Drosophila melanogaster: one gene and its partner. The gene in region 1 interacts genetically with each later gene. Each region holds a gene or a part of one and is shown on either strand. Other genes may lie near its edges. The genes, in order: pds5 and wapl.

Region 1 (7,815 bases):
CAGTGTCCTGAGAAAATGATATGTGGATCCAAGTCGCTGATGATGGCTCTCAACAGGGGTCCTCCGCCAATGAGCAGCGGGGCATGGGATACGCCAATTCTTAGACGATCCGCATTGTTATCCCTATCCGGGTTGCTAAAGTCCAATAGCATGCGGTTTATCTTGAAGAAGCGTAATCGATTGTCATAGTCAAAGAGGTCTTCACTCATGAATTCGTTCTCAAAGCGTCTTTGGTTCGAGTTGGATATGTAGTCGCCATTCTCGCCGCCAATATCATTGTCACCCGGCACATGGACGCGCTGAAAAAAGGCAGAGATCATGCGGAACTGTTAGGTTTTAAGGGGTCAATCCCATTCGCAAAGTTGTATAATCGCTTTGGAAAAACTTTAAATTGAAATAATTATAGGTGCAACAACAATTTAAGGTGAAGCAAAAGCAGTACTCCTTACTTTTTTGTAGTTCTTATTCTGATAAATTCGTCTGAACCGCTGAACGTACTGCTTGTACTCTTGAGCCGTGGCAATGTTGCCTTCGTCCAACAGATCGCCCAGGAACACTATGATGTGAGGCTGTGTAAAGGCAAGAGCTCGCTCGAAAGTCTTCGCCAGGTATCTATCCGAATCGTACCTGGCTAAAGGACTGTGCGAAGATCGATCGTAGGAGTTTCCCAGTATCTGGGGATCAGCAATAAGCAGCAGGCGCGTGCAATTATCTATGTGGGAAAAATAGCTTGTTATGATGCGACTCAAAAACTGTGTTACGGCTTACCTAGTTTGCAATCGATTGGCTGCCAACTGGACTGGGCCATGTAGTAAACTATAAACTCGTTGAAGAAGACCAGCAGCAACGTAAGAGCCACAAAACCGCGGCACACTAATCTGTTTCTTTCGGGGATTATGGAAGGATTAAATAGTTTCGGTTAACAAAAGTAACGTCAACTATGACCCACCTATTGACGACGCGCAAGGAAGCCATAATCCCGGCTATGCCGCATCGGTTTGGATTGCTTGATTAATACTTTCGGTTGTCCTCTGGCAAATGCAACTGGCTTACATTGCGTCTCTATATGTACAATCTATATTTAAATACGCACTGCCCATGCAATATTTACGTAAGAATGCTCATATTTTCGGGAATGTAGAGCTGCTGCAACGGACGGCGCACATCTGACCACAACCGGCCCGCATCATCGCTTTCAGGGCGCACACGCTTAATTGGATTAGAAAGCAAAACATCTAGAACGGCCGGAACGTTGTGTTGCGTCCATTACCACATTCCTCCGATGTTTCGCCAATGCGCGCCATTGGCTTTTGAACGCGGGCAATTCCGTTACAGCGTTTGCCGGCTCCAGGTGCCAATAATTGTGCAATTATCTTTATCCTATGTTTGCACTTCTTGCGCCGCGACGGCTATGTGGCAACGCTACAGCTGTTTGCCAAGCACAACAAACAAAATTAGAGGTGAGCGCGTGATTAGCACTAACTGAATGCTCAAAGCAAAACAAACATGATACTCAAATGTTGTTCTTAAGTAAATTTATAAATACAGTTTAATAAGTTATTTATATCCCGATTTCATTCCGATTATATATCCGATTTCGTGACACGACCCCTTCCGCTCTCCTCGCTAGCACCAACAACACGTCAATGCTAATCAGCTGAAATGCAATCATGTACTAATCTGCGAAGAGTCTGGCCACACTTCCAAAAAACCTCTGGCAACGCTTCGTGCGTGGATTAATGGCGTGCCACTCCACATAAATGCTCCTTGGTTTTTGCTTATTTTTAACAACATAAGCACCGCAAAAGACTCTTGTAACCGAACATGTGTAAATAGCTGGACAGGATCAATCCCATCCATAGTGCAGTGATTCGAAGGAGACGCGCGCTAAGCGGTCATCGAAAGCAGGGGTTCGCAAAATTGCAAAAAAATTGTGCCGCTTCCTGCCCGTTGTGAAAAGTAAGATTCCGAGTTCCAAAAACTGCGCCGCAGTTTAATATAAAACATTGGGTAAATTGCAGTGGCAAGGGCGCTACAATTTGGGCGCTCTCTATTTGTTGTTTGCGAAAAAGAAATAACCAAACAATATTGGCCACTCTGTGTGCTTGTGGTGCTGCTGCCCATGTGTGTGTGTGCTTGTGTGGAGCTTCGTGCTTGTGTGTTCGTGATGCCACCCTCCTCCACTTTTTCAATGTTATTTTGAGGGTCGCATTCGTTGTTGTTGCTGTCGCACGGAATTGTTGCACCTGCCACTGAATCCTTGAAATCCTGGCTTGCAGGTAGCTCCCATTGGCGGTGAGGATGGCGGACATAGTGTACCCCACCGGATGCCGGCCGCTGGTCGAGGATTTGGGCACAGACGAGCTGATAAGGCGCCTCAAGGTGAGTCCTGCCCCTGGTTCCCTTAGCAAAACTTCTCACTTAGAATGATTCTGTTTTACAGACCCTCGCCAATGTTCTGCAGACCATGGACCAGGACGACAATCTCTACCAGCAATACATACCATTGGCCCTCCATCTGCTGGACGACTTCTTTATGCAACATCCATCCCGTGATGTCCAGCTCTTAATCGCGTGCTGCGTGGCGGATGTCCTGCGGGTTTATGCGCCAGAGGCTCCCTACAAAGAGCAAGATCAAATCAAAACTATATTTAAGTTTTTTATCAAGCAACTGCACGGTCTGAAGGATCCGCGCGATCCCTCTTTCAAGCGTTACTTCTATCTGCTGGAGAACCTTGCTTTTGTCAAGTCTTTTAATATGTGTTTCGAACTGGAGGACTGCCAAGAAATCTTCCAAGACCTGTTTAGTACCATCTTCAAGATTGTCAAGTAAGTCGAGCTCTTCCTTTATCCTGCGAACTCTTTATAATCACATGTTATATAATTTTCTAGTGACCAGCACAGTGTCAAGGTGACTAACTTTTTTCTAGATGTGCTAAGCCCGTTGATCACAGAAGCCGACAATCTGTCGGTGGAATTGTTGGATCTCATTCTGATTAACATCGTAGAGCCGTACAAATCTAACAACAAGTTTGCCTGCCAATTAACAGAACAACTTCTCACTAAAACGGGCGATGCTCTCGAGTCCACCATCAAAATGGTAATATTTCGTTGATCTTTGGTGCACCACGTTATTCAACCTAATCCCTGATCTACAGTTCTTTAACCGTGCTCTGGTCATGGATAAGCCAAACACAAAACTGTCCATTACAAACAAAATCTATGATATCATTTACGAGCTTAACCGCATCAATGCAGGCTTGTTGTGTTCAGTGCTACCTCAGCTGGAGAACAAACTGCTGTCCACGGACGATGCTGAGAGGCTAAGTGAGTAATTTATCAGCATGTACCTCTATTTGCATATTAATAAACATATTTTCGTTACTACAGAGGCAACCACTCTCTTGTCTCGTATGTTCTCCGAAAAGGACTCGCAACTAGCGAAAAAGTACCCCAACCTGTTGAAAATCTTCTTTGGGCGCTTCTGCGACATCACCGAACCAGTTCGCATCAAGTGTGTTCAGTCATCCATGCACTTCCTGCTCAATCACCCAAGTCTTCAGCACGATATCACCGAGAAATTGCGGCTTCGAAATCACGATCTTGACGAAGTGGTCCGCCACGAGGTGGTAATGGCTATTGTGGAAACTGCCAAGCGCGACTTCACCCTCGTTCTCGAAGCGCCCGATCTACTAGAAATTGTGCGCGAGCGGACGCTAGATAAGAAGTACAAAATTCGCAGGGATGCGATGAATGGTCTGGCCTACATCTACAAGCGCGCAATTTGCGAACCCAACGATCTAAGCACTGGCCTTAAGGTCAGGGTTGACTGGATTAAGAACAAGATACTACATGGATACTACAAAGTGGGCTTGGAGGACCGCCTGCTTGTGGAACGCCTACTTATCACCTGCCTGGTTCCCTATAAACTAGCTCCGGAAGAGCGCATGAAGAAGCTATATCATTTGCTAGGCGATCTCGATGCCAATGCCACCAAGGCTTTCGTCGAGCTGCAGAAGAACCAAATGAAGACACGCAATACGGTCAGTGATTGGATCAAGCTACACCACTCTAAGGAGTTCACGCCGCGCGTACTTAGTCAGCTCAGCGCCAAGCAGGCCAACATTGCCAAGTGGGTTCTATAATAAGTTTTCTTTTGATAGTTTGTAACCAGTGATGTGTTTTTTTTTCTTCAGACTGCTTCCAGATCCCCTAAAAGCGGCAGAGTACCTAACCCAGTTTAGCAACAACCTGCGAAAAGATGCTCAGCTCCTACGATGCATTAACATTGTCCTTAAACGCGACGTAAGCTGTCGGGAGTGTGCTGACACGATGGGAGTTCTCCTGAAAAAGCTTGGCGCCCACGTCCAATCGAATCTGTATTACAACACAGTTAAGATGCTGATTGAGCGCGTGGCATCAGTGATGGTGGACAAGGAGTCTATTGGCGTACTTATTAGGTAAATTGCTTTTAAGTGCCCTTTTGCCAGACTTAATCCGGTAATCTTTTTGCTCAGCCTAATTGAACAATGCATCGAGAAAGGGTCCATGTGTGAAGAGATCGGAATTTCGGCTCAGGAAGCGGGCGAGCGCGGACTCAAGTTGTTGGCCGTGAGTATAGAGATAATTTAAGTTATGATACAGAAATCCATTTGATTGCTTTATACTTGCAGATGCTTTCATACGTCTTTTCGGCTCATTTCTTCACCGATACTTCGCTGCGTCATTTAATTTCCCTGCTCAGTTACGAGCAGGATTATGTTGCACCACTGGTGCTAAAGACACTAACTCATCTGGGGCGCTATCAGCCACTCATTGACGACCCTACACCGGCTATTCTCGACGAGCTGGCTCCGGTGTGCAAGGACTTCGCACTTATTGGAACCCCCAAGCAAGCAAAGCACGCGGTGCGATGTATTTTCGTAAACAGCCAGTCGTCGGCTTCCACTGATGGAGCAACAAGTGGAGCTGGAAGTGCGTCCACAACTACACAAACAGTGCATCCTATTTTCAACGAGATCATCGAGACGCTTCGCCTAAAACTGACACCAAACTGTGAGCATCAGCGCACAAAGATTGTGACCTTGGGTCACATTGCCTACAATATGCCACAGGCCTTCCTAACGCCCATTAAGAATATGATTGCGCGACGAATTGTCAAAGAGCTGCTTATCCAAGAAGTTCCTGCGCAGCGAGACTACGAACTGCCAGAGGACAGTGATTGGTGTGCCCAAGAGAAACTACCGCCGGACACTCTATGTAAGCTGGATGCGCTCAAGGCTATGGCCAGGTGGCTTTTGGGATTGCGTACCGATGAGCACGCTGCCCAGAAAACATTCCGAATGCTGGCGGCGTTTGTTAACCAACGAGGCGATTTGCTCGGCCAGAACCGTCTTTGCGGTGCCGAGAAATCTTGGCTGCGCCTCGGGGCAGCCTGCGCCATGCTCAAAGTGTGCGAACAAAAGGGCGTAGGTGATCAGTACAGCGCTGAGCAGTATTTGCAGCTTTCCCAGCTGATGGTGAGTAGAGACATTCATCTTGTGCTTAGAACTTAGTCTCAATGTCTATCTCGGTGTTCCCGTAGGCTGATCCGGTGCCAGAAGTTCGGGAAATCTTTGCTCGCAAGCTGCACAAAGGATTAAGCAGAAGTTTGCCCAGGAACTGTTTGCCGCTGGACTTCATGGGCTTGTATGTGCTGGCTGGTCTAGAGACTGAGAGGAAGTGAGTAGTTCAAGAAACCATCCGATCCGTTCGGAGAAGTATTGATAAATATTTTCAACAGATTGCAAGACCTTGTGCGTCACTATGCAGAAACGGATGTAAACAAACGGCGGGAATATCTCAAGACTGTGGCTATGACATGTAGGTGTTTTACTTTTGGAATCATATTGTGTATTTTAACCATTAAATCAAATTATTCCAGCTCCCGACAGCTCAACGGAGTCACAATCATTACACATACTACCTGACTACATGCTGGCTTTCGCTATTCCCGTGCTGGTCCACGATCCACGCTTCACGAATCACGAGGACTACGTACAGCTGCGCAAGATGGAGAAGTGCCTGCGTTTCATTCTGGAGCCGCTGATGGCCAAACGAGAAACGTTTGTCCATAGCTTCTACAAGCAGCTGCTGCAGCTGATAAAGCATCGCGAGTTCAGTCTGGGGTCGGACAAGCGCGACAACTATGTATGTCACTCAATCATTTTCCCAGGCTTTCCCTTCTAAATTATATTTATACATATATTTTTCGGTTATCAGAAAATGTGGGCGCTCTGCGATCTTGCCATGTACATTATCGACTCCAAGTTCAGTCCATTTGATGGCAACACGAGCACCTTTTCCATGCCGCTGGCTTTGCCAGAAATGTATTATAAAGAGCCTGCCGTTGCGAATTTCCAAAACAATGACGTCTATATACCGCTGGACGTGTATACGCTGGGAGCCAAATCCACGAGCAAAGCTGCCGCAACAGCAATGACAACGTCGCGAGCAGCAGTGGCTCCAAAGAGACCGGCGGAACAGTCAATCATGGATGATGAAAATCCGCAGGTGAGTGAGGTCCTTGGAAAATACTGAGAATGAATCTAACTAGTGTGTGAAATTTGATTTCAGGAGAACAATCTGTTCGACAACATACGAGCGGCTGACACTACGGAGCCCATGGCCAAACGAACGCGCGCAGGAGCCGCTTCAGCCAAATCATAGGGGCTGGGATGGCGCAGATTGGAGGTGGAGAGAGCGCATACTTGTTAGTTTAGTTATGTTTAGTCTAGGCGCCTAAGTTAACTAAATATTTAAGACGTAGGAAAGACCACGATAGTTGTTAAACCGACACTACCTTTATCCACACCATGCAACTCACAACTAAGCACCCAGAATTCGGATTGTTCAGTTTCGCATTCAGTATGTACTATATCAATTTTGTGAGATACACCAAAAACACAAACATCAAAAAAAGAAAAACGAAAAAAGTGTCGAAAAATCTGTTAACCGCAACTCTGTAAAAGTAATTATTTATCATTTAAAATGTTTTATCCTGTTCTTTTATAGTGTTTGATTTATTGATTGATTTTACCATTATTCTTAGACTATTGTATATCGAATAAAAAAAGGAAAGTATATCGCGCATAAGTTAAAGTACGAAGTAAAGTAATGAAAACGTAAACAGAGCCTTATTAAGTAATTAAAATTAACTTTTCTATGATCGCAGTTAATTTTTAGTTAATGTAACATCATCATAATACATACAATTGTCTCGTTAAATTCAACAAGTATGCATTCAAAATGCATTCAAAAAGAAAACCTAAAAGCGTAAGAATTGGAAAGAAAACTACAAAGATAAAAATAAAATGAATACACACATTAAACTATAAAACATGTACATTAAACAATTATTATGGTTTTTAAATTACAAATAAACGTATGATTATTATTTAAATGTTAAAATGGATATCGAAAATGGGCTTTTAGTTTAAATTATTAAAATGTTGTACTTTTTTAATATAAAGTAAGTTTAAAAAATGGCTAAAATATAATTTTTGTTTCTAACTTTTTTCTTTTCAATTTCAAAGTCGCTCTTAGGAGGGCTAAAACTAATTTGAATATTGATAACAAATGAACTATCGATAAGAGGCCGTCGATAGTTCACGGTGCAACATCAACTCTCCCATCACTAGTTCCAATTGCATTTTCTGCGTTGTTTTTTTTCGGGGGTGTGACGTTTTTCTTGTTGTTTTTGTGCTATTGTGAAATAAACCAAACAATTGTCGAGTTAAATAGACACTGATTGTTGTTTTGCCGCGCAGTTCGAAC
Region 2 (4,976 bases), on another chromosome or scaffold:
TAAAATTCAAGCGGCTGATTGACCTCATCAGCTACATGCCGGGTCCTCCCGTGCTGCCGCTGGTCGGCCATGGCCACCACTTCATCGGCAAGCCGCCGCACGAGATGGTCAAGAAGATTTTCGAGTTCATGGAGACCTACTCCAAGGACCAGGTGCTCAAGGTGTGGCTGGGACCCGAGCTGAACGTGCTCATGGGCAACCCCAAGGACGTCGAGGTCGTCCTGGGCACGTTGCGCTTCAACGACAAGGCGGGTGAATACAAGGCCCTGGAGCCGTGGCTAAAGGAGGGTCTGCTGGTCAGTCGCGGTCGGAAGTGGCACAAGCGACGCAAAATTATCACGCCCGCCTTCCACTTCAAGATCCTCGACCAGTTCGTTGAGGTCTTCGAGAAGGGGTCGCGAGATTTGCTCCGGAATATGGAGCAGGATCGCCTGAAGCACGGCGACTCCGGCTTTAGCCTCTACGACTGGATCAATCTCTGCACCATGGACACGATCTGCGGTAGGGATCTAGGTCTTTAATTTTTATCATCTAGCAAATGGTGGTGCTTTGAAGAATGGGCTCTTGGTATGGCCTGAGTAAGGCCATAGTATCTATTTGTAAAAGCTTTGATAGCATTCCTTTTTCTATTCCAGAAACTGCCATGGGTGTTTCCATCAATGCGCAGTCGAATGCAGACTCCGAGTACGTCCAGGCGGTGAAGACCATATCAATGGTGCTGCACAAGCGGATGTTCAACATTCTGTACCGCTTCGACCTTACCTACATGCTGACCCCACTGGCGAGGGCGGAGAAGAAGGCCCTGAACGTGCTTCACCAGTTCACAGAGAAGATCATCGTGCAGCGCAGGGAGGAGCTCATCCGCGAAGGAAGCAGCCAGGAGAGCAGCAATGATGACGCGGACGTGGGCGCCAAGCGAAAGATGGCCTTCCTGGACATCCTTCTGCAGTCGACCGTCGACGAACGGCCCCTGAGCAACTTGGACATTCGCGAGGAAGTGGACACCTTCATGTTCGAGGGCCACGACACCACCTCTTCGGCCCTGATGTTCTTCTTCTACAACATAGCCACCCACCCGGAGGCGCAGAAGAAGTGCTTTGAGGAGATCCGGTCCGTGGTGGGCAATGACAAGAGCACGCCGGTGAGCTATGAGCTGCTGAACCAGCTGCACTACGTCGACCTGTGCGTGAAGGAGACCCTTCGAATGTATCCGTCTGTACCGCTGCTGGGTCGTAAGGTTCTCGAGGACTGCGAGATCAGTGAGTACAGTGCGTAGAGGAGTAAAGTACTCAATTTTAACTTGCCTTTCCCCAATGCAGATGGAAAGCTCATCCCGGCGGGCACGAATATCGGCATCTCCCCTCTCTACTTGGGCAGACGGGAGGAGCTCTTTAGCGAGCCCAATATCTTCAAGCCGGAACGGTTCGATGTGGTCACCACCGCCGAGAAGCTGAATCCGTACGCGTACATTCCGTTCTCGGCCGGACCTCGCAACTGCATTGGCCAGAAGTTCGCCATGCTGGAGATCAAGGCCATCGTGGCCAATGTGCTCCGGCACTACGAGGTTGACTTTGTGGGCGACTCCTCGGAACCACCCGTGCTGATCGCCGAACTTATTCTGCGTACCAAGGAACCCTTGATGTTCAAGGTGCGGGAGCGAGTCTACTGAACCACAACATCGCATTATATCTTTACGCTTGTCAATTAAAATATATTCAAAAATGTGAACGATTGGCGGCAAAGTCTTTGCTTTGAGTGAAGGCCGAACAGTAAGGTCATGGTCACACTGGCTTAGGGGAGGACTAATGTCGATAGCGCGAATGCTGTTCGCTTAATTTTGCGCCACACGTTTCGATAGTGAGTCCTACGCTATCGTCTACGGCATATCGATAGTTTCATGAATCGTTAGCCCAGCTCTAAAATAGTGTTTCTCTTCTCTCGTGTAGAAAAACAGAGAAATTAAACTTTTTCGCGCATTTCGCCATTGCAAAAATTGAAATTCGCGATCGCGTTCGTTTACCCTGCAAATTGCACAACTACGCGCTCTCGATTGGCGCCGATTTAGCGGAGAATCGCGAAATCAAAGAAATATTCGCAGCAAGAAGAAGAACGGAACGGCCAGTATAATCGTATTGTTGTTTGTGTTGGTGTTAGTTGTGTGTGTGTTTGTGGGTGTTGTTGTTGCTGCTGCTACTGCTTCTGGGATGATGCTGTAAAGTAAAAGTGGTGGCAAAAGCACTAAGCCCGTGGTGCGACGCAAAAAACACGCTGCAGTTAGCGGCCAGGCGGAAAATGATAAGAGTGATGGTGGCTTGAGCCCCGAGTAATCGCTAAAATATCGAGCACACAGTTCGTGCAAATCAAATTGCGCCAATAAGCAAAAGCAAACGCAAACATCGTTTGTTTTATTGCATTCCACGCACACACACACCTATATATATGCACACGCACGCAGTCGCATACATATGCGCTGCAGCAGCAACAGAGATTTTTTTATTTGACCACACTCACTCACACACGCAACCACATGCATCCACGCAGCAAACGGATAACAACAAAAACAAAGAGAGCAGCCAAATGTTTCGCCTGAGGTGAGTTGTTGATTTTTGTGAATTCCGTTTGGCGATTTTTACGACAGTAAAGTGCAACAAATTGTTTGTTTTTCGGCCTTTGCTTTGGAAATTGGTCTTGATTTGATTTCGGTGCGTGTGTGTGTGAAAATTGGAAATCGCCTGTGTGCGTGTGTGTGCGCGCACTATCGAGTGCTCTCGCTCGCACCGACGTACTCCTTACGTGCCCGCGTTTGTTGTGTTTTGCTGTTGCTGCACTTCTCTCTGCCCAGCCAAACAAATCGCTCACTTTTAGTAAAATTCAATAACTGTCCGCAGTGCGAAACATGAATTAATAGTTAATGATTGACGAGCACGGCCTGCATTGTGGTCCATGTCCTGCGAATCCTCCAACCACCTTTTCGCTGCCTCCGCGGAGGGAGAGTAGGGTCTCTTTCGGGTTTTGGATTCCTAATCCTTGGATTGGTACTAGCTATAAAACTAGGTTTCTTGTCATCCGTGCCCTTATCTGGCCCTATCTGGGCAGCCAAATCCAACTAGGTTCGATATAATCCCCAGCATGTGCTCATTTCTTGGTCCAAATAGGCCTGCAAATACACATATGTTAAATCGATTTACTGTTACCTAGTTTCTCTGCAGGATAATGAAATGGTAAATAACGAATTGTACAGCTGTTTCCGAATGGTTGTATGTATTGTAGTAAAATTCATGTTGATAAAGTCCGAACTTTACTTTGATGAGCGATGCGTTTGCTGTGTGCTAGCCAAGAAGCCGGTTAACTAATGTTTCTCCATTTCCAGTGACCACATCACCAAGGATTAGAGTCAGCAACACGGAGTTAGAGGATACCAGAAGCAGCAAAGGAACCACCGCTAGCGAAGATGTCGCGCTGGGGCAAGAACATCGTGGTGCCGCTGGACTCACTCTGCAAGGAGAAGGAGAACACCAACCGGCCCACTGTCGCCCGTTCCGTGGGCACCGTTGGCAAGTGGGGCAAGATGGGCTTCACCTCCACGCGCACCTACACCCTGCCCGCCATCCATCCTATGGCTGCGGCAGCGGCGGCTGCTGCAGCAGCCGCCAGTCCCTCCCAGAGTCCCGCCTCCACGCAGGATCACGATCCCAACGACCTGTCCGTTTCGGTTCCGGAGCCGCCGAAGCCGAAAAAGTTCTTCAAATCGAGGAATACAGCTCCGCCGGAGGTCATAGCTCAGATCATTCAGCAGCTACCGCACTGTGGAGCCGGCGCATCACCCATGCGAGACCATTTCTCGTCGGCGGGTGCGGGTGCTGGTGGTCTCACGCCTACTTCCGGTGCCCAGGAGGCGGGCGGAGTGAAGCTGAAGCCGGGCAAGGGCGCCAGTTCCGCAGAGCGGAAGCGCAAATCGCCGAAAAAGAAGGCAGCAACAACGTCAGCCTCCACGCCCTCGACGCCTGGTGCGTTCTACGGCGCCTCCGATCGAGATGGCGATGGGCTAAGCGATCCCGCCTCAGAGCAGCCGGAGCAACCGTCCAGTGCCTCGGGCAAGCAGAAGCAGAAGAAGCCGAAGGAGGAGAAGAAGCTGAAGCCAGAGGCGCCGCCTTCGCGGGTACTGGGACGCGCCCGCAAGGCTGTCAACTACCGCGAAGTGGACGAGGACGAGCGCTATCCCACGCCCACCAAGGATCTGATCATTCCCAAAGCGGGGCGCCAACCGGCTGAAGTGGCGGCTACGGCAACACTTGCCGCCGCTTCGTCGGAAGCCTTCATCAGTTCCACGTTTGGCAGCCCTGGATCGGAGCCGTCGTTACCCCCGCCTACGTCAGCGCCAAGTGCATCTGCGTCCACCTCGTCCCAACTGCCCTCCGCATCAGGCAGCGCGTCAAATCCTCCCAGCGCCTCCCGCACGCCAGAACATCCTCCTATCGTGCTACGCATCTCCAAGGTGAGTTTTGAATTGCCTGGAATTTGAATTATTTTAAACTCTAGACCTAAATATTATGCTTCCACTTCTCTCTATTTCCTAATAGTAACCTACCTAATAGTAATTTAAATTAATATATCCACCACACTAGTGGGTGCCCCTTCTTTTTTGATTTTCACCACTCCGTTTCTCGGTACATTTCACTCAGAGAAAAAGTTATCCAACTCCTAACTATTTGCCGAGTACCCCAAATGCGATCGCCCTCCCTCTCTCTCACACGCGCTCCGCCATCTCTTTCGCACTTAATCGCCCGGCCACCTCTCTCTTGCTCAACAATGCTTCGCCTTTCTCCGTTTCCCTCTCTTTCTCCTACCATTCCCTGCTCACTGTGTGTGGGAAAGGGAAGGCAGCGCAGCGCGCGAAGCAGTGTTAAATTACGCGCGCTTTTACATGGCAAACCAACGGAATTGGAGTCGAGTCGCTCTCCCGAGTTGTTGGTGTT

What was found.
Region 2: of pds5 (region 1) and wapl, changing one enhances a phenotype caused by changing the other (phenotypic enhancement), as found in Drosophila melanogaster (one study listed by BioGRID).

Annotation. Positions count from the first base shown.
Region 1 is NT_033778.4:12,026,274-12,034,088, forward strand, and holds pds5 (precocious dissociation of sisters 5), read left to right. Parts: upstream 1-1,711; 5' UTR 1,712-1,959; intron 1,960-2,021; exon of another isoform or gene 2,022-2,279; 5' UTR 2,280-2,301; coding exon 2,302-2,382; intron 2,383-2,443; coding exon 2,444-2,829; intron 2,830-2,892; coding exon 2,893-3,100; intron 3,101-3,158; coding exon 3,159-3,327; intron 3,328-3,390; coding exon 3,391-4,132; intron 4,133-4,196; coding exon 4,197-4,460; intron 4,461-4,517; coding exon 4,518-4,611; intron 4,612-4,673; coding exon 4,674-5,519; intron 5,520-5,584; coding exon 5,585-5,721; intron 5,722-5,782; coding exon 5,783-5,862; intron 5,863-5,923; coding exon 5,924-6,189; intron 6,190-6,261; coding exon 6,262-6,552; intron 6,553-6,615; coding exon 6,616-6,708; 3' UTR 6,709-7,452; downstream 7,453-7,815. Other genes in the region: Mppe (metallophosphoesterase), read right to left, coding at 1-326, 450-712, 769-884, 950-975.
Region 2 is NC_004354.4:2,155,908-2,160,883, reverse strand, and holds the start of wapl (wings apart-like), read left to right. Parts: upstream 1-1,900; 5' UTR 1,901-2,591; intron 2,592-3,370; 5' UTR 3,371-3,451; coding exon 3,452-4,495; intron 4,496-4,976. Other genes in the region: Cyp4d1 (cytochrome P450 4d1), read left to right, coding at 1-501, 636-1,259, 1,320-1,669. UniProt on the Drosophila melanogaster protein: Has a role in female meiotic chromosome segregation in females; proximal heterochromatin is involved in chromosome pairing during female meiosis.